2 linked regions of the Mus musculus genome follow. Each later gene encodes a partner of the first gene's protein in a complex. Links are inferred from orthologs where the notes say so. Each region holds a gene or a part of one and is shown on either strand. Other genes may lie near its edges. The genes, in order: Gtf2h4 and Polr2c.

Region 1 (3,910 bases):
CTCCCAAGTGCTGGGATTAAAGGCGTGCGCCACCACACCCGGCTCAGATCTCTTATTCTTGTTGAGCTTGATAGCCTGTGATGTAAGAATAACAGAATTTGCCCCCATAAGAATTGGAGACCCTACAGATGACCTTAGTTGATGTCATTTTCCCTTTCCCTTGTCTTGCCTAGGATAAATTCATAAATCAAATCAGGGCAAATGATAGCTTTCTCTTAAAAATTGCAATGTAATCTTCTAACTCCCCAGGGAGTTGGAAGAGATTAAGATTGAGTGAGCAGGTGGGAGGATGGTGGAGAGATGGCTGTCCTTCCAAAGGGCCCAAGTTCAATTCCTAGCACTAACATAACAGCTCACTGCTGTATGTAATTCCAGTTCCAGGGAATCTGACTTCACATAGACATTTTGATTGATTGAGCTCCAAATGAGGGCAATTGTGTTGATCCACGTCATGTGAAGATGTTCTGCACTGATCATTATCTCAGTTTCGTGAGGAACAACAGAGGTCAAGAAACCCAGTTTGTCGCCGGGTGTGGTGGCGCACGCCTTTAATCCCAGCACTCGGGAGGCAGAGGCAGGCGGAGTTCTGAGTTCGAGGCTAGCCTGGTCTACAAAGTGAGTTCCAGGACAGCCAGAGCTATACAGAGAAACCCTGTCTCGAAAAACCTAAAAAAAAAATAAGAAGAAGGAAGAAAGAAAGAAAGAAAGAAAGAAAGAAAGAAAGAAACCCAGTTTGAGGTCTCTACATCTAACATAACACCACTAAGCTGCTTTAGTACGTCTCCGATAGGAGGCCCCGGAGCTCCTCCAGGTTTGCTGCCTCCTCCTGATCTGACAAGAGATTCACCTTGCTGTATAGGGGAGAGAGGCGCGGAATCAAAAGGTCTGACTTCGGATGTTTCTAGGGAATCCCAATGAAAAGCCACCTTTTCTCGGCCGGCCTTCTTGCGGTGCCTTTAGGGATTTGTAGTCAGAGCCTGACTCATAGTCTCCAATGTAGGCTAGAAGAGGACTACAATTCCCAAGATGCCTTGCGACAGGCGAGTGCATTGCCTATTCTAACCCCCTTTACTCTTGACACATTTCTCTGCTCTCCCTTCTCTTTGGACTGCTTATTGACTGGGTCCTGTCTGTGAAGTTCTTCGTGGTTCTCCCACCTTTTAGAATTCTCATCCTTTATTTCCAGGAGCCAATGCGAGACATTAGCACTGATTAGGCGACGGCTGGTGACCCGGGGTGCGCGAGGGGGAGCCGAGTGGTGAGGGGGTTTGAGAAGGGTAAGGGAGAGAGTTGAGCGAGAAGCGGAGTGAAAGGAAAGTCGGGGAGATGTGAGGAGCTCAGAGGCGTGGGTCTCAGTGAGAGGGGTAAGGCTGGCTGGAGGGAAAGGGATAGAAAGGGATTTAGGTTGGTAAGCATGAGGCAGTTTATAGCCGTGTCCCCAGATGAGAGCTAAGGATTTGACCCATTTGGACTGATCTGACCAGGAGGGTGGACAAGAGAGAGAAGCCTGGGCTCAAATAAGTATCTTTGTCAATGCTTAGGTGAACTTGAGATGTCATTGATATGCAAAACACTCGCAAGTATGAAACGATAAGTAATTCAGTCCACACCGGTGAGGATCTGGATTTGATCCTCAGGACCATACACAAAAATGAGACTAATTCCACCTCCTGGAGACTGAACAAAGGCTGAACTTCAAGGGCAGATATGGGATGAAAAGCCTGGTGGCCACTTGGGAAGTAAAGGCAGATGGATCAGGGGTTCAAATCCATCCTTGGCTCCATAGCAAATTCAAGGCCATTGTGAGCTGCATAATGAAGAAAAGAAGCAGGACACGAGGGGTTTGGGAGGAATAGGTGATAAGTGGCATCAGACAGGAAAGTACAGAAAGTGAACCTAATAGATCTGGAGTCAGTGATATAGGCCTGGGTCATGTGGGAGTTCTGACATTTGTCCCTCTCAGGTGATGGAGATCACCCCGGCGAGGGGTGGACTGAACCGAGCACACCTACAATGCAGGAATCTCCAGGAGTTCTTAGGAGGCCTGAGCCCTGGGGTGCTGGACCGATTGTATGGGCACCCTGCCACTTGTCTGGCTGTCTTCAGGTGAGGAGCCTTCAGAGCAAAGGGGATGTTTGGAGAATGTAATGGGGCCTGCAGACTGAAATTAGTTAGCACGGGGAGAGGCTTATTAGCCCAGCGTGAGTACCAGGGTGTTAGACATTACTCCAAAGTGTGTCAGTCCAAACCAGAAAGAGGTTGTGGGGACAGTGGGACTGCTAAGGACGTGGGAGATGGCATGAGACGTTTGAGAGACAGAGGTTGCAGGGTATTTGATCACATAGTGAACTCCAAGATTATGAACCAGAAAAACCTTGTTATTGTGGCTCAGCCCTAAGCACACACCTTTTTTTTAGCCAAGGGCTAATGTCAACCGTAGGTCAAGAGATGGAGCAACCAAGTAAACAGAAATTAGCAACGTTGAGTTGAAGGGAATTTAAGACAGTGTGGAGAATTCTCGGAGAGGGAGCTTTTTCTTTCTGGGATGTCATTGGAGAAAAAAAGGTCAGCTGGGTGCTTTCTCTGCCTCTCTGAGCAGTTGGGATGTTTGTTTTTTTTAAACCACAGGCAGATGAGGGCAGAGATGCAGGTGTGAGGTGGCTTCTGATAACATTTGGCCTCTGAACCTTACAGGGAGCTCCCCTCTTTGGCTAAGAACTGGGTCATGAGGATGCTCTTTCTGGAGCAGCCGCTACCACAGGCTGCGGTGGCCCTGTGGGTGAAGAAGGAGTTCAGCAAGTGAGTCCCGGGCGGGCGCAGCTGCTTCGAGCTTCCCAACAGCCACATTTCTCAAAGGACTTTTGTTTGGAACACTTGCAGGGTGCACACACAGAGGAGCTAGGGGAATCAGATGTGGGCCTTTCAACAGAGCCTGCCCTACACAAGGAAAACCCTCCAGAATACACCTGCAGAGGTTTCCACTGTGGAGAGTTGTGTCTCTTTAGCTGTATGCTAACTAGAACAAAACAAACAAACAAACAAAAAGACAAAGGGGAAAAAGCCGCCCCCGCACTCCCCCAACCCCAAGTTGATAGGTAGAGATAGGGAACCAGAGATTCAAGGATTATATCGTAAGTTTGATGTATTGTAAGTTTGAGGCTGTCCCAGGCTTCATAGGACCCTTCCTGAAACAAAACAAATGAAAAGGAAAAAAAAAAAAAAAAGAATTGACTTAGAAAACAAAACAGAGAAACCAACAACAATCAAAACGAACTAGGTTCTCCTTAGCATTGCAGTGCAGGTATCTGAGGTGAGAAACACAGCTTCGCCCTGCGACACTGTTCCAAGGGCCTCCCGTTCAGAGGAGATAGATGAAGCTCCCTGGAGGTCTCCTTGCTATTGGTGATACCCCACTCAACTCTGCTTCTGTCCAGGGCTCAGGAGGAAAGTACGGGGCTGCTGAGTGGCCTCCGTATCTGGCATACCCAGCTGCTCCCTGGTGGACTCCAAGGCCTCATCTTGAACCCCGTCTTCCGCCAGAACCTCCGAATTGCCCTTCTGGGTGGGTACGTCATTTCCCTCCCTTCCTGAGCTAGGCAAGGGGAACTGCTTATTACACTGGTGGGGGAGAATCTCCTGAGAGGCCTCCCCAGAGCCTCTCCCCATCCCCACCCCCACCCCTTGGAATGCTCCTTCAAGAATACATTGGACCAGGTGTGGATGTAGGGTGCAGAAAATGTCCTTTTCTTGTAGCCCTTGGGATGAGGGTAAAGACCTAGGGATGCAGGAAGCAGACAGGGTTCCTTACTCCTGTGTATCCTGGCCACAGGGGCAAGGCCTGGTCTGATGACACAAGTCAGCTGGGACCAGACAAGCATGCCCGGGACGTCCCCTCACTGGACAAGTATGC
Region 2 (3,910 bases), on another chromosome or scaffold:
AAACAAACAAAAAAACATGGGTTTTGTTTTTCTTGTGTATGCATTACAGTACTCTCTCTGACATTAGCTCGGATGTGGGTCTCTTGTTTGCTTCTTTGTGTGTTATCTAACTGTCCTGAGAGCATCCAGGGGATTCTTCTCTCCATCTTCCTACTCACAGGAGCCTAAGATTAGACTCTTGCATTACCATGCCTCTTTACAGGTGTTCTGAGAATTTGACCTTGTGTCCTTGCACATCAGGGTTTGGCTTCGCACCCTGGAACAAGTGACTGAGGTGCATATTTTACCCGTCAAAGCAGACCTGGCCTCCAGGTTCTCCCAGCATCCTTCAGTCCCCACCTGGCATGCTCTGCCTCCACCCTGAACTTTCCAGCCCAGAGGCTGGGCTGCCCTTCCCCAAGAGGTTCTTCCCTATAGAATCCAGACATTTTGCTCTTGCTCTCTGGATCGATCTATCTCCCTCCCCCTGCCCCAGGCCCTTTCTCTTCTCCCTCTCTGCCCTTCCCATGGCGGTTCCCCGGCCTCTGTTCTTAAGGCCAGTGAACTCACCTGAGAGCAGCTTCCCAATAAACCTGCCTTTTAATATATTCTAATCTGTCTTGAATTGGCTCATTTTACCAGCAGAGAAATAACCTATCAGTCGTCTTGCATGCTTGAGTCACCTCCCTAGCCATTTTGTTCATGTATAGATGTACAACTTTTTAATGGTTTTTTTTAAGGTTTCATTGTATTCCTATGTATTTTAAAAATTATTTTTATGTATAAGGATGTTTTGCTTGCATGTATATTTGTGCACCATGTGAATACCTGGTGCCCTCAGATACCAGGAGAGAGTTTCCTCAGAAACTGAAGCTAAAGATGTTAGGCATCATATGGGTGCTGGGAATACAATCCAAGTCTTACATAAGAACAGCCAGTGCTCTTATCCCCAATGCCGTATCTCCAGCCCCGTATGTAAGTTTAACCAAGTCTCTATCGATCATTGCCTAATGCGTTATTTTTAGCAGTTATAAATAACGTTGGCATGAATGACCCTGTACATTTAATTTTTGTGCTGTATATCTTGGGGATTTCAAGAGTATAGGACCAATGCATTTTGGCGCCGGTGTGGTTAGAAAACACAGGCCAGGAGAGTTCCGGCCTCCGGTCAGCAGGTGGCGCTGCGCCCGCGACTAGCCGGAAGCGCCGATTGCCCCGCCGACAAACTGCTGGTGGCCGCGCAGGCGCGCTGTGCGGCTGGCGCGGGAGCCTGGCGGAGGGTCGCGATGCCGTACGCCAACCAGCCAACAGTGCGGATCACGGAACTCACCGAAGAGAACGTCAAGTTCATTATCGAGAACACGGACCTGGCGTAAGGCGGCGAGGGGAGAGGCGGGCGGGCGGCCGGGTCCTCGAGCTCCTGACCCCGGGGCTGTGGCTTCGGGGCCGCTCACACCGCCTGTCTTTCCTCCTGTAGGGTGGCCAATTCCATTCGGAGGGTCTTCATCGCAGAGGTGCCCATAATAGGTAAGCGACCGTCCCTGGGAGCCCGTGCCGCCCACCCTCCGCCCGGGGTGGGGGCTGAGAACACTGCGGTGCTGTACGCTGGGCTGGGGCAGCCTAGGCCCGCCTTGGTGCGTGCCTTGCTCAGCTGCGGGTTTCCCAGTACTGTTCGTCTACCCCAAAGCAACAGAAATCAAAACCAAGCACTGTTAAACAGCGGAGGGCTGCAGCCTCCTCATCCGGGCGGTGTAGATGCTAGGCGTCGTTAGCAGGTGATGCAGCGATTGCCGAAGTAGTGTAGATGATGCGCTTTTGCTTTGACGTCAGTGTTCGCTACTGGCTGGTGTCTTTTGAACATATATGCTGATTTTACAAAATCATGGGCTTCGTTATGTAGTTTGAAATCTACACACACAGAGTGTACCTGGTCTCTCCCATCCTTCCAGATAGTACCCTGCTATACTTTCTTGTCGTCTCCCCCTATCTTTTTGAAAACCTTTATTTACATATATGTGTCTATCTCTGGGCTCGAGTACCGGAGTTCATGTGTAGAGGTCAGAGTACAGCTTGTAGGAGGGATTCTCTTCTCCCACCATATGGGGCCCAGGATTGAACTCCTTAAGGCTTGACAACAAAAAGTATCTTGCACATCTTGCAGGCTCCGAACTTTCTCTTTATTAAAGAGAGAAAGAGAAAAAGAGAGAGATTCCACATGAGAGAAAGCATGTGTTATAAAGATTTTCTAATTTTGTTTGTTTGTTTGTTTTTCAAGACAGGGTTTCTCTGTGTAGCCCTGGCTGTCCTGGAACTCACTTTGTAGACCAGGCTGGCCTGGAACTCAGAAATCTGCCTGCCTCTGCCTCTGCCTCCCAAGAGCTGGGATTAAAGGCGTGCACCACCACTGCCCGGCTTAAGATTTTCTTTAACAAACAACATACTTTTGTTCCTTATTGTTGAAGTGTGTGTGTGTGTGTGTGTGTGTGTGTGAGAGAGAGACAGACAGACAGACAGACTTCGGTTTTTTGTTTTTTTAAATCCATCCTGGTGTCTTTTTAAAAATGAATTTCTTATTTCTGCTGCATATGTAAATCATGTACGTTTTCAGTTAGAGACAAGACATGAGCAAACATAACAAGGCAAAATATGACACCTTCAGGAGAATCTGACCAGTTTTATCGTTTGTTTGTTTGTTTGTTTTGAGAGAGGAAGGAGGCCAAAAGGGAGTGGAGCGTTTGTAAACATGGACACTCGAGGTTTTCTGAGATGGGGAATTCCCACCAGGGGTCGGGGAATGGGAATGGTGGAAGTAGATTAAGGGCATTCAATGGGCCCCAGAAGTAAATCATCAGGAAGCTTGGTCCTTGCTTGAGTTGAGGAAGCACTGCGGTGAAGGGCAGGTTGGGCCTATCCTCAGCTGGTCTTCCGGCCTCTTCCTGGCCTACATCAGCTCCTTGAGAACTGGGTTTCCAACACCACTGATTTCTGAACATTATTGTTTACATGCAGGTGTTTGCTGATGGGTGACTAGACACATGCTTAAGTGCAGCATCTGTATGCTACAGCCCCATTTGCCCAGCAGTGCCTGGGGGGGGATTGGGTTCTATTGTTAGTGGGCTTTCCCTGGTGAAGCTGTCCAGTGAACATCTACTGATGAGAGGAACACTGAAATTCCAAGTGGGCTATCTGGTTATATCACAAACGAGGTGTGGGCCCTGAAACTTGGGATGTTTTGCTGTTGTGATGTTTTCCCTGACTTTTAAGTTTTTAAAATTGTGTCTCTGTGTGTGGGTGTTTACCAGTGAATGCAGGGGCTGGAGGTGGCCAGGGGTCTCAGATGCCCCTGGAGTTGGAGTTACAGGGGTTGTGAGCTGCCTGACATGGGTGCCAGGAACCTCAGAACTGCGGAGCCATCCCTCCAGCCCATGGTGTCCAGATAGCTTTCGTTCTTGGGTTTGGGATTGGCACAGGTAGCAGATTTAAAGTAATCCTTAGATAAGTATTCAACTCCTTAAATATCCCAAAAAGCTCTAAGAGAGAGTATGTGCATGCATGTGTGGTGTATCACTAGCAAGGCCCATCCCCCACTGGGGCAGGAAGGTGTTATGTATGGCGTGTGGGATGCCTGAACCTGGAGCCATCACTTTGAAGTCACTTTGAGCCTCTTGCAGCCTGGTCAGGACACCTTCAACTTTGTAAGCTGAATTGATGCTTGCTTGCTTGCTTGCTTGCTTTTTTTTTTTTTTTTTTTTTTTTAATTTTTGTTTTTGTTTGGTTGGGTTTTGTTTGTTTGTTTTGTTTTTTGAGACAATGTTTCTCTGTGTAGCCCTGGCTGTCCTGGAACTCACTTTGTAGACCAGGCGCTGGCTCTGCTCCCTGAGCGCCGGGCAGAGTGGAGACAGTGCTGCTGCAGGTCTGTAGATGTGTCTGG

Evidence for each region.
Region 2: Gtf2h4 (region 1) and Polr2c share a complex: the UniProt entries of both Homo sapiens proteins name them as parts of the TBP-based Pol II pre-initiation complex. The link is inferred for Mus musculus from reciprocal best matches to the Homo sapiens genes GTF2H4 and POLR2C.

Annotation. Positions count from the first base shown.
Region 1 is NC_000083.6:35,670,882-35,674,791, reverse strand, and holds the start of Gtf2h4 (general transcription factor IIH subunit 4), read left to right. Parts: upstream 1-1,048; 5' UTR 1,049-1,236; exon of another isoform or gene 1,237-1,277; intron 1,278-1,963; 5' UTR 1,964-1,966; coding exon 1,967-2,106; intron 2,107-2,694; coding exon 2,695-2,799; intron 2,800-3,434; coding exon 3,435-3,566; intron 3,567-3,829; coding exon 3,830-3,910. UniProt on the Homo sapiens protein: Component of the general transcription and DNA repair factor IIH (TFIIH) core complex, which is involved in general and transcription-coupled nucleotide excision repair (NER) of damaged DNA and, when complexed to CAK, in RNA transcription by RNA polymerase II.
Region 2 is NC_000074.6:94,856,291-94,860,200, forward strand, and holds the start of Polr2c (DNA-directed RNA polymerase II subunit RPB3), read left to right. Parts: upstream 1-1,159; 5' UTR 1,160-1,265; coding exon 1,266-1,351; intron 1,352-1,456; coding exon 1,457-1,506; intron 1,507-3,910. UniProt on the Homo sapiens protein: Core component of RNA polymerase II (Pol II), a DNA-dependent RNA polymerase which synthesizes mRNA precursors and many functional non-coding RNAs using the four ribonucleoside triphosphates as substrates.